3 linked regions of the Saccharomyces cerevisiae S288C genome follow. The gene in region 1 interacts genetically with each later gene. Each region holds a gene or a part of one and is shown in the gene's direction. Other genes may lie near its edges.

Region 1 (5,880 bases):
GAGTTTTCTCAGCTCCTCCTTAGCCACGTAAGAAGCACGCCCAACAAGGGCATCCATCTTCCTTGTCTTTTCGGCACCATCATAAGCAGCTTGGGCGGCGGCTCTGGGACCCTTCCCGGCTTTCAGCGCTTCGACAAAAGGTTGCAGAGCATCGATCAGAGTCCTGTAACCAGGACGGGCTCTCGTATACTTATACAAAGCATCTAGTGCAACGTTTGATGCCTTTTTGAAAGTTTCCGCAGTAAGTTCCTTGTCCCCAGAATCCCTAACTCCTTGTGCGAGAGCAGAAAGATAGATAGAGTACAGACCACCGGACGTACCACCCATAGAATCCTCAACCATATACGCAATATCTTCGATACCAAGAGCAGCATCCTCGAGGCGCAACGTATGGTTTTTAATAGCTTCTTCCAATGCTTCACCACCGGACACAAGAGTAGTTCCGCAATCACCATCTCCTGCAATGGTATCGTACCAAGTAACCTTTGGTTCAACCTCGTTAATTTTTGCAATCCCAGCAAGCAAAATTTTAGCAAAAGTGTCATAATCAGCTTTCACACCCGAACCTTTTTCATTCCTCAATGTCTTTAAAGAGGGGGCGGTGGGAACCTGCCCTTTGGCAAGTACCTCCCAATCTTTGGCAGAATGGTACATTTGATTCCATCCACTCGCTGTGGTAGGATAATCGAAATACTTAAGGATATCGCCACCAGCTTTTGAAGCGTTCATAAGAGTGATACCAAACCCAGGACCATTCAATGCAGTAATGAATGCTCCAGTAATCGTTCTCTTGGGCACAATTTGATACTTATCAATCAATTGTTCAGAAATGACCTCTGCAGCATAACCCAATTCTAGATTAGACATACCACCCATGTTGTTAACCATAAGAACTACGTCCTCTTTGGGCTCAAACTTCACATAAGAACGGTCTTCATCCTCATCGAGAAGAAGAGGAAGCATCTGGGAAACGAGCTCAGAAATCGATGGCAGCGGAGAAGACTTATAGGTACCAGACTCGTTATGAATACCCATACCGATTTCATACTCATTCTCGCCCAAAATGGCTTCAGGTTTGTGGCCAGGAACCGTGCAGTGATCAAGAGATGCCGCAATTGTGACACTATTGTCAACTACTGACTGAGCAACTTCGGCAACTTCTGCCAACTCCAGTCCATGAGAAGCGGCTGCCCCAGCAATTTTATGCACCAATACGGTGGCTCCGAGACCTCGACGCCCGACTAAAGAACCTTTCTTCTTACCGACAGAGACATCATCTCCTACAGCAACCAGTTCGACTTTCATTCCAGCAGCTTTAGCTCTTTCAGCAGCGAGACCAAAATGTATAATATCACCGGTGTAATTTTTTACAATGATCAAGGTACCCTTAGGAGATTCAACAGCTTTAATAGCAGAATAGATCTGTTTAGTTGAAGGAGAAGCAAAAATGGCACCTGCTGCAATCGCATCTAAGGCACCTTCACCAACAAAACCGGCATGCGTTGGCTCATGACCACTGCCACCTCCAGAAACCAATGAAACTTTAGGAGGGTTCCCTGAATTAGGAGCTGACGCAGTCCGGAAAACCACTCTGTCGTGCTTAATCACTGTAAGGCCGGGATTGCTTCGAGCAAGGCCAAGTAGGTAGGGAGTAACGATGTTTCCATCTGATTTGAATTGTTTGTGAGACATGATTATTTAGTCAATTGTAGTTGGGTTTTGTCAGATTTTGAGGTAAAATACACTTTACAGACAATACTAGAAAAAAAAAGGGCTGATCTGGGTTCATTTATATATATTTAATGATCCAAAGTTTGAAAATTCAATCACACATTGCGGTATTTTCCCCTTCTCGTATTGTTGAGATCCTTATACAATATCAAGTACTTAATTATCCAACTATGGTGACGTAAGAATTTACTTGGCTCAATATCTCCCTATTTGGTACTACGATACGATTTCATGAAATTATGAGTTAAATAATTTAGAATCTAGTTATGGCCTGGCGGGAATTGTTTCTGTGCAGGGATTTACTCACAATCACCCTCTGCGGGAATAATATGCATAGGTTGTGATTAATTTTTTAAATTAAGTTCCATCAGAAGGCCTAGTTTTCTCCGTTGATAACTCCGCTCCGGAATATCATAATTTTCCGGTACCCCACTTACCCCGGAAATTTGAGTTATAAACGTTGTTTGAGCTTTACCTAGTCTTGGTCGATCAAAAGTTCTGGTACCTTTTCACCATGTCTCCCCCTTATTCATATAAAAAGAAGCGTATAATCGCACAGTATAACGCTCCTCTGATATATGATCTAGACCCAAGTAATGAGTTACGAATCTGGGAGGTCATCCTCCTCTTCCGAGAGTACACGGCCACCAACGCTAAAAGAAGAACCTAATGGTAAAATAGCTTGGGAAGAAAGTGTCAAAAAATCTAGGGAAAATAACGAAAATGACAGCACTCTCTTGAGGCGAAAGCTAGGTGAGACTCGAAAAGCAATTGAAACTGGAGGATCATCGAGAAATAAACTTTCTGCTTTGACACCCTTGAAAAAAGTGGTTGACGAGAGGAAGGATTCGGTACAACCACAGGTCCCTTCCATGGGTTTTACTTATTCTTTGCCTAATTTGAAGACTTTAAACAGTTTTTCAGATGCTGAGCAAGCACGTATAATGCAAGATTATCTATCCAGGGGGGTAAATCAAGGCAACAGTAATAATTATGTAGACCCACTATATCGGCAATTAAATCCAACTATGGGTAGTAGCAGGAACAGGCCTGTTTGGAGTTTAAATCAGCCGTTACCGCATGTATTGGATCGAGGCTTGGCAGCAAAGATGATACAAAAGAATATGGATGCAAGGTCCCGCGCATCATCGAGACGAGGGTCGACCGATATTTCAAGGGGGGGTTCTACTACGTCAGTGAAAGACTGGAAAAGGCTCCTTAGAGGTGCAGCACCGGGTAAAAAGCTTGGTGACATCGAAGCTCAAACGCAACGCGATAATACTGTTGGTGCAGATGTGAAACCTACTAAGTTAGAGCCTGAAAACCCACAAAAGCCCTCTAACACGCATATTGAGAATGTTTCACGTAAGAAAAAGCGTACTTCGCATAATGTCAATTTTTCATTAGGCGATGAAAGCTACGCATCCTCCATAGCCGATGCAGAATCCAGAAAATTAAAGAACATGCAAACCCTCGATGGTTCTACTCCGGTTTATACGAAGCTTCCTGAAGAACTTATTGAAGAGGAAAATAAAAGTACGAGTGCATTAGATGGTAATGAAATTGGTGCCTCAGAAGATGAAGACGCGGATATAATGACATTTCCTAACTTTTGGGCAAAAATTCGCTATCATATGCGAGAACCGTTTGCGGAGTTTCTCGGGACACTAGTTCTTGTCATTTTTGGTGTTGGTGGTAATCTTCAAGCAACTGTAACAAAAGGTAGTGGTGGTTCCTATGAATCCCTATCATTTGCATGGGGGTTCGGTTGTATGCTTGGTGTTTACGTCGCAGGCGGTATTAGTGGTGGTCATATTAACCCTGCTGTTACGATTTCAATGGCAATTTTTCGAAAATTCCCCTGGAAAAAGGTGCCCGTATATATTGTTGCTCAGATTATCGGTGCATATTTTGGAGGAGCTATGGCTTATGGTTATTTTTGGAGCTCTATCACAGAATTTGAGGGAGGTCCGCACATAAGAACAACGGCGACCGGTGCGTGTTTGTTTACTGATCCAAAGTCTTACGTCACGTGGAGAAATGCCTTCTTTGACGAATTCATAGGAGCCTCTATACTTGTGGGTTGTTTGATGGCGCTATTGGATGATAGTAATGCTCCACCTGGCAATGGTATGACCGCATTAATTATTGGATTCTTAGTCGCTGCAATTGGTATGGCCCTTGGATATCAAACAAGTTTCACAATCAATCCTGCAAGAGATCTCGGTCCTCGCATATTTGCTTCCATGATTGGCTATGGTCCACATGCTTTTCATCTCACACATTGGTGGTGGACATGGGGAGCCTGGGGTGGTCCAATTGCCGGCGGTATTGCTGGAGCACTCATATATGACATTTTCATTTTTACTGGATGCGAATCCCCAGTCAACTACCCAGACAACGGTTATATTGAGAATAGGGTAGGTAAACTTTTACATGCGGAGTTCCACCAGAATGATGGCACTGTCTCAGATGAATCTGGTGTTAACAGCAACAGCAACACTGGCAGCAAGAAATCTGTGCCTACTTCGTCATAATTAATATTTTCAATTTTTTACGATTTATAACCTAATTATTAATTTCACGAACTTATTATTTGACGACATACTACATCCGGGAGCCGTGACTTTGTTACCATCTCTTACTTGTGCTCTAAATTCTATCGTTTTGTTTTTGTAATAAAGAATGAGACTGCCTGCGGCTTAATTGTCTTTTTATTGTAGGCAAGAACAAAATTCGACTAATACGTAAAATTAAATGTCAAACCAGGAGTCTCACATTATGTTATTAATAAAAATAATAAAATTTTCAGCTCGTTGACGATAGGAAAATTCCTGGCACCATCAACTAGGTAATCCCACTGAAGATGTGTTTTATATGAATATGTGCTATATTTACTAATAATAAAGAGCAAGTTGCCAAATAAACTAATTGTGCTCAAAGAAAATTATTGTCATTATCATATATTTTCTCATATGCAATTTCAATCAATTTTAGACAAGTGATTATATATATGTAAACGGTTGTTTTTTGATGTTACGTTCTGTATGATTGACCAATGCTATTTTTCTCATGCGATATAAATTGGAGAAGTGCCATATTGATTTACGTTACTCAAGTTGTCAATTTCAGCCTGACGTTGAAAAAGATAACAAAATTTGCTCAGATAGGGGCAAAAATCACACTGCCAGCAAATATTTTAAGGATTGATACTTTGGCTAATCCAAGGCCAAAGCAGAAAAATCTATCACCTTTTTCAATTCACCCAACGTTCTCACTAAATGGATGAAAATTCGGTAGATTCTTATCGTATATTTCGTACCAATAACTTGAGTATACCGAACAATAATATAACTCGGCAGTCATTTCCGGCTATACCGTTTTCAGAAAGAGGTTGCCTTTTGATAATGTGGCCAAACGAGGAATTATCTGTTAAAGCCATTATTACATCTCTCAGCAAACTAGTTTTTTAAAGCCACCTCAGCAAAAAGCGCGACCAGGACTTCTTCGGATGTTCTTGGCGTTATTTTGAGTCTTTTGTTTGTTTTACTAAAACCCCCCTAAAGATTAATTATTCTCAAAAATAGTTAACAGGCTGTCTGTCGCCACTCGAAGTCCGGAAAAATGTGCACTTATCTTTTAAGTCCGCCTACCCCGCATCTTCTTTTCCAGGATATTTTTCTCCGAGCACAGAGATTCCGCAAGAGTTTAAAAGTACAATTAACCTTTTATCTTTAAGCTTTTTTTTCCGGAAATATAAGGTTTTCGTCAGGTAAATTTATTTTGGGAGCAGCAACAACATATTACACGTTCCACGTATTTCCCATGATAAAATATATTCATTTCCCCTAATATTTAACTACAATAGTCAGCTCTTCTACAATCCCTAAACGAGCTTTTGATTGGATAAGTGCAAATAAAACAAGAACAGTAATCTTGAATCTTGCATTTGCTCTTTTCTTTGGAAAACACGCAAGCTCGTATAAACTGTATTTTTCAGGAACAGGATAAGATGTGCTAGGTGAAAAGAGGTGCTTGGTCTAGAATATAACTCGGAGAAAAAGTCACCGGTCAAGAGGTTCTTGGGTTTATACCCTATGAAATTGATATTTCGGGTTGATTATCTTTTGTGCTAGAATATTGCTGTAT
Region 2 (3,284 bases), on another chromosome or scaffold:
TATATGGCAAAAAAAGAATTTTTTATGCCACCAACACGACGGCATATTCTGGAGTGATTATAGCCACTGCTAACAAGATAAGGCGGTAACACCCGATTGTGCAGATGTCCTCATTTATCCTGTTTCCGAGCATTTGATTAACCGTCTCTGTGAGACCAGTTAAAGACCTCTCTCAAGAAAAATATGTAAATTTTTTTCAGCCACTTTATCGGCACTGGAACGAAACGATATGGTATTCCCAGTATCAGCCACGGCCCCGTGTAAGCCGTAAAGTAAACAAAAATTTTTACCACTAATTTCGTTGCGTATCAATTTATACTATTCTTTGTGAAAACCTACACAGACTACCAACAGAAATTTTTTTGGTCAAACGAGTCCAGTCTGGTTATTCGCTGGTTCATGTAAAATGTTAGCACCATCTACAGATTCCGAACATTAAAATCGTATTATGCATAATATAGACATTAATGAGCAATCTGTTCATTACCCCCTTATCGTATGGCAACAGCTATTCCTGATGTAATAGTGATGTTATATTGCTTTCGCCATTATTAATTTTGAGGAAGCTTTCCAAACAGATTACATAGCTAACTAATTGCAATTTTGCGACGCCATAAGGATACGCGATTTCCTCCTTTTCTTTTTCGCGTTGTTCTGTGCGCTCTTTTTTTCAGCCAAAAAGGGTTCCTGAACAAAAAGACCCTGTTTTTTTTCTGCCTGTTAACTCTGATCTTAAAAAGTTACCAATTTTCTAACATTTCTCAATAAAGACCCTTCGATAAACAAGATTCTTGAGAAATAAAAATTTTTGTGACGTTTACTTTTGAAAGTCCTTGAAGAATTCATTACTAATAGAGAAAAAATGGTGATAATTTTTTTACTTCACCTCCTTTCTACTATCCCTCTTATTCGGATTATCTAGCTTTAACTTCGCCAGTTTTTTCTTGACACACTTCACAGATGATGGTGCCTTCATGTCGGCATGACGCATTATCTCCATACTAAAAAATGATCCGACAATATCTCCTTCCTATTTGATCAGCCTCTTATCGTTCGTAAACGACGTAACTTGACGGAGAACGGAGAACTTGTTGAATAGAGAAGAGTATGTCGGTAATTGATCTCCGATATGAGCGAATATAAAAGCAACATATTTGCTGGTATGTAGCGTAGCTTTTCTTTCCAATTGACGGGACATCGAAACAGTATATTAACCGAGATAAAAATGACGACTTATCAAATCGATGTCAATGAAGGAATGAACAAGTCCCTGGCCGACTTGGTGGCACCATAGCGCCCAGAGCCACTCAAAAATTACTGTATAAGTAACACTAATTTGATAGATGTGGTAAGCGGTGTCAGTCTCCTCGGAGCTTACATCTTCATAGAACAGGGTGTCATTTCCAAGGTCGAATTTGGTTCTGAAAAGCCGGTAACCGTTGATGAAGTTGCCTTTGAAATTATTGACGGCACCGGTAAGTATGTCACTCCAGGTCTGATCGACAGTCATGTCCACATTGCGTCGGTTGCAGGAGAGGCTGATCTGACCAAGTTAATGCTGATGCCAAAGTCAGTTGCATTACTCAGAATAAGATACACTTTGGAAGCCGCTCTGGCAAGAGGTTTCACAACAGTGAGAGACTGTGGGGGTGCAGAAGGCTTTCTGAAAGCAGAGATTCGTCAGGGATCCTTGAATGGTCCCAGATTAATTACGTGTGGACATGCCATTTCCCAAACTGGTGGTCATGGCGATCTGAGATCTGGTGCCCTACCTGCTAGTGCCTTTGACAGCTGTTCATGCCACTTTGGTCAAGTTGGTGTTGTAGCAGATGGTGTTCCCGAATGCTACAAAGCGGCCAGAGAAGAGTTTAGAAGAGGTGCAGACTTTATTAAGATTATGGGTGGTGGAGGTGTGGCCTCTCCAACTGACAAAATATCAAACAAACAATTTTGCGACGACGAAATAAAAGCACTTGTAGATGTCGCAAATAGTTACCACACATACGTAACAGCACACGCCTACACTGCGGAAGCGATACAAAATTGTATCAAGTTAGGTGTTAAGGGTATCGAACACGGAAACTTATTAGATGAACGTACCGCAGAGCTTATGGCAGAATTGGGTTGCTACTTGACTCCAACACTAGTTACCTACAAAGTGATGGGTTCTGATCAATTTAGTGCATTCTTGGGACCTGAAAATAGTAGAAAAAATACAGAGGTGCTTTACAAAGGAATTGATGCAATGAAAATTGCCCAGAAAAAAAAAGTTAAAATTTGTTTTGGTTCAGATTTATTGGGTCCTCTATATGGTTATCAAACGCAAGAGTTTCGTATTAGAGGGAAAGTTCAAACGACACAAGAGATTTTGCTCTCAGCAACTGTTACTCCTGCCGAAATGAACGGATTAGGCGATAAATTGGGACAGATTAAGCCAGGGTTCATTGCTGACCTACTGATGATGAAATCAAATCCGTTGGACGATATAACGATTTTGGATGAACCCGAGAGCAACATACTATTTGTCATGAAAGAGGGAAGGATATATTGATGTAGTTATAGTTGTTTTCACAGTCAGCATTATTTCTGAATGCTAGAAGCCTTTTTTTTTTTGAAGTCATAATAAAATATTTGGCTTGTAAATTTAAGTATTGAAGTCAAAATATCCTACTTATATCACAGTGAAATGTGAGGTGGATATGGCCCTTTAGGGCCCTTAATTTTACAAGTTACAGAATCTTTTTTTTTTTTATAGCATTTGTAAGGTCCGTGTATTCAGAAAAAAATCCAAGCTTAAAAAAGTGTATATAACATTTGGTATCTGAAATACGGATCTATCATAAAATAGAACACCTCAAGGAGGTATAAATTTTAAAAGTTTTTTTATTGTATGCTCGTGCCCGTTTTTTCTTAAAGTCGGAATTTGTTATCGAACACTTGGCATGCGCTAAAGATCGTTAATTTACAAAAATAAGGCGGATGAGATGCCTCCGCTAAATATTGCAGGGGTCGCTTTGAATGTTTCGACCAAAATGTGCTCTAAAATATAGAAATATCATTATTAACAGTATAATTAAACGTTGAGATAAAGTATTTCAAGTTAAGCAATATGAAAGGATGACAGAAAAGAAAATAATTTCTTAATATTACAGAATATGAACTAAAGTTTGCTATTACGTGTGCCAAATTTTGAATTAAAACTTGATATGAACCTCTGCAGGTTTATTATTATGTTTTCATGATTACCACCATTTATCATAACCAAATGTCTCACCTTTCTTTAA
Region 3 (3,916 bases), on another chromosome or scaffold:
ACACAAGTAGGTCAAGGTGGTTATGGGCAAGTTTATTTAGCCAGAAAGAAAGACACAAAAGAGGTGTGTGCTTTGAAAATTTTGAACAAAAAACTATTGTTTAAGCTCAACGAGACAAAACACGTTTTAACTGAAAGAGATATCCTAACCACGACAAGGTCTGAATGGTTAGTAAAACTTCTGTATGCATTCCAAGACCTACAAAGTTTATACCTGGCTATGGAATTTGTACCAGGCGGTGATTTTCGTACATTATTAATAAATACTAGATGCTTGAAAAGTGGCCATGCGAGATTTTACATCAGTGAAATGTTTTGCGCTGTTAATGCGTTACATGATTTAGGCTATACACATAGAGATTTAAAGCCGGAAAACTTCTTAATCGATGCCAAGGGACATATAAAATTAACAGATTTTGGTTTGGCTGCTGGTACGATTTCTAATGAAAGAATTGAAAGTATGAAGATAAGGTTAGAAAAAATCAAGGACCTGGAATTTCCAGCGTTTACAGAGAAATCTATAGAAGATAGAAGAAAAATGTACAACCAGTTGAGGGAGAAGGAAATTAATTATGCGAACTCCATGGTTGGGTCTCCGGATTATATGGCTTTGGAGGTTTTAGAAGGAAAGAAATATGACTTTACTGTGGATTACTGGTCGTTGGGTTGTATGCTGTTCGAAAGTTTAGTTGGTTATACACCATTTAGTGGATCATCGACTAATGAGACCTATGACAACTTAAGGCGCTGGAAACAAACTTTAAGAAGACCGAGACAATCTGATGGGAGGGCAGCATTCTCCGATAGAACTTGGGATTTAATAACAAGATTGATTGCCGATCCAATCAATCGATTAAGATCCTTCGAACATGTTAAACGCATGTCTTATTTTGCAGATATAAACTTTAGTACTTTGAGGTCAATGATCCCGCCTTTTACACCCCAACTAGACAGCGAAACTGATGCCGGTTATTTTGATGACTTCACCAGTGAGGCTGACATGGCCAAATATGCTGATGTTTTCAAAAGACAAGACAAATTAACGGCTATGGTAGATGACTCGGCAGTATCATCAAAACTTGTTGGGTTCACTTTCCGACATAGAAATGGTAAACAGGGTTCCAGTGGCATCTTATTCAACGGACTGGAACACTCAGACCCCTTTTCAACCTTTTACTAGCGTAAAAATGAATTCTTGTCTTGCATTCGCCGCGATATAATTAGCTTTAACGAGCTTCATGCAAACTTTTCAACTAGCACCTATGAACGCTTTTTTCATAAATATACATATATATATATATAGTTGTGCATTACTTAGGACTTCAAGCCCATTGTTTAAAATCTCAGTTCACGGTAACGGTCCATCCCATGACCGTTTTGAACTAAACTTAAGCATTCATGTTGGGAGCGGCGAAACTTGGTAATGTTTTACAGGAAAACAGCAATGACCACTATTAATCGAAAATCTGCAAAAAATGAAAAGGAATGGGTGTTAACATCAATTGTTTTTTCAATGATAATTACAAATTGGACTGATACTACATTGCTAGATGTACAAAAAACGCAAGGTAGCTCTCTTAGAAGGATCCATAATATATAAAAAAGGGCTTATGGTTTACTGATATCTTTTTCACTTCAAAAACTTACATATAAAAATAGGATGACAAATGCAAAGATTTTAGTAGCTCATATAAGTGAAAGCGATGCCGATGAGGCTATCAGAAAGATCAAGAAAGTGAATGAAAAATCAGGGCCCTTTGATCTAATAATTATATTCAGTAACTCGTATGATGAAAATTTTGAGCTGAATACTGATGGGTTACCTCAACTAATACTACTATCGTGTGATAAGGCTAACAATTCGAAATCCAAAAAGATAAATGAAAATGTAACATTGCTGCATAATATGGGTACTTATAAATTAGCAAATGGAATCACTCTTTCATATTTTATTTATCCGGATGATACTCTTCAAGGGGAGAAAAAAAGCATACTGGACGAATTTGGCAAAAGTGAGGATCAGGTAGACATTCTCCTTACAAAAGAATGGGGCCTTTCGATCTCTGAGAGATGTGGAAGGTTGTCTGGAAGTGAAGTTGTTGATGAATTGGCGAAAAAGTTACAAGCAAGGTACCATTTTGCCTTTTCAGATGAAATAAACTTTTACGAATTAGAGCCTTTCCAGTGGGAAAGAGAGCGCTTATCGAGGTTCCTCAATATTCCAAAATATGGATCTGGAAAGAAATGGGCCTATGCATTCAATATGCCAATAGGGGACAACGAACTAAAGGATGAACCTGAACCGCCCAACTTGATAGCTAACCCGTATAATAGCGTGGTTACAAACAGCAATAAAAGGCCACTAGAAACAGAAACAGAGAATTCGTTCGATGGAGACAAACAGGTACTTGCTAATAGAGAAAAGAATGAAAATAAAAAAATTCGAACGATTTTGCCGTCAAGTTGTCATTTCTGCTTTTCAAATCCAAACCTCGAGGATCATATGATAATATCAATCGGCAAACTAGTGTATTTAACCACAGCGAAGGGACCTTTAAGTGTTCCTAAGGGTGATATGGATATCTCAGGCCATTGCCTCATTATTCCCATTGAACATATTCCGAAATTAGATCCAAGCAAGAACGCAGAGTTGACACAGAGTATTTTGGCTTATGAAGCTAGTCTTGTGAAGATGAACTACATAAAATTTGATATGTGCACGATTGTCTTCGAAATACAGTCTGAACGTTCTATTCATTTCCACAAACAAGTTATTCCCGTTCCAAAATACCTCGTTCTAAAGTTCTGCAGTGCCTTAGATAGACAGGTTCATTTCAATAACGAAAAATTCACAAGAAATGCTAAGCTAGAGTTCCAATGTTACGATTCACACTCTTCCAAACAATATGTGGATGTAATTAACAACCAATCCAATAATTATTTACAATTTACCGTCTACGAGACTCCTGAAGCGGACCCAAAGATATATTTGGCCACATTTAATGCCAGTGAGACAATAGATCTGCAGTTTGGACGACGTGTACTAGCCTTTTTACTTAACTTGCCACGCAGGGTGAAATGGAATTCTTCAACCTGTTTACAAACTAAGCAACAAGAGACTATAGAGGCTGAAAAGTTTCAAAAGGCCTACAGGACCTATGACATTTCTCTCACAGAAAACTAAACTAAAACTATTTCATTTAGAATTTCAAATATATCCAAATATATGTATATATATGTAGAATACTAAGTCATGCTACCTCTGAACGTTTAAGAGACCTAGCAACTCAGAGGTGATGAATTAAAAGAAAAACCGGGTAAAGTTCTTCGAGAGACCGCGCTGAAAAAATTTTTTTAGAAGAGTCACCCATACAGCCTACTGGTGTTCTCTGTGTGTGCTACCACTGGCTGTCATCGTTGTTGTATGTCCTTCAGATTTATGGAATTACTTAGATGGTATGAATAAGTGGTTAAACACATTATCTAAGACATTCACTTTTCGGCTTTTGAACTGTCATTATAGGCGATCATTACCACTTTGTCAAAACTTTTCTCTGAAGAAGTCGTTAACTCATAATCAAGTCAGGTTCTTTAAAATGAGCGATCTTGATAATTTGCCTCCAGTTGACCCAAAGACTGGTGAGGTCATCATTAATCCGTTAAAGGAAGATGGCTCTCCAAAGACTCCTAAGGAAATTGAAAAAGAGAAGAAAAAGGCTGAAAAACTGTTAAAGTTCGCTGCCAAACAAGCTAAAAAAAATGCTGCTGCCACCACAGGTGCATCTCAAAAGAAACCTAAGAAAAAGAAGGAAGTTGAGCCAATCCCTGAATTTATTGACAAAACTGTTCCAGGTGAGAAAAAAATCTTAGTATCCTTGGATGATCCGGCTTTAAAAGCTTATAACCCTGCTAACGTT

The links. Genes that interact genetically often act in the same process or in processes that back each other up.
Region 2: mutations in AQY3 (region 1) and YJL213W together harm fitness more than expected from each alone (negative genetic interaction), as found in Saccharomyces cerevisiae (one large-scale study listed by BioGRID).
Region 3: mutations in AQY3 (region 1) and DRN1 together harm fitness more than expected from each alone (negative genetic interaction), as found in Saccharomyces cerevisiae (one large-scale study listed by BioGRID).

The regions. Positions count from the first base shown.
Region 1 is NC_001138.5:19,235-25,114, reverse strand, and holds AQY3 (Aqy3p), read left to right. Parts: upstream 1-2,327; coding exon 2,328-4,268; downstream 4,269-5,880. Other genes in the region: DAK2 (dihydroxyacetone kinase), read right to left, coding at 1-1,692. UniProt on the Saccharomyces cerevisiae protein: Channel protein that mediates glycerol entry under ethanol stimulation. Does not seem to mediate glycerol uptake under standard conditions.
Region 2 is NC_001142.9:30,608-33,891, forward strand, and holds YJL213W (uncharacterized protein), read left to right. Parts: upstream 1-1,555; coding exon 1,556-2,551; downstream 2,552-3,284. Other genes in the region: oligopeptide transporter OPT1, read right to left, coding at 3,243-3,284.
Region 3 is NC_001139.9:668,729-672,644, forward strand, and holds DRN1 (Drn1p), read left to right. Parts: upstream 1-1,659; coding exon 1,660-3,183; downstream 3,184-3,916. Other genes in the region: serine/threonine-protein kinase DBF2, read left to right, coding at 1-1,179; VAS1 (valine--tRNA ligase), read left to right, coding at 3,458-3,916. UniProt on the Saccharomyces cerevisiae protein: Involved in branched RNA metabolism, modulating the turnover of lariat-intron pre-mRNAs by the lariat-debranching enzyme DBR1. Enhances the debranching activity of DBR1 in vitro.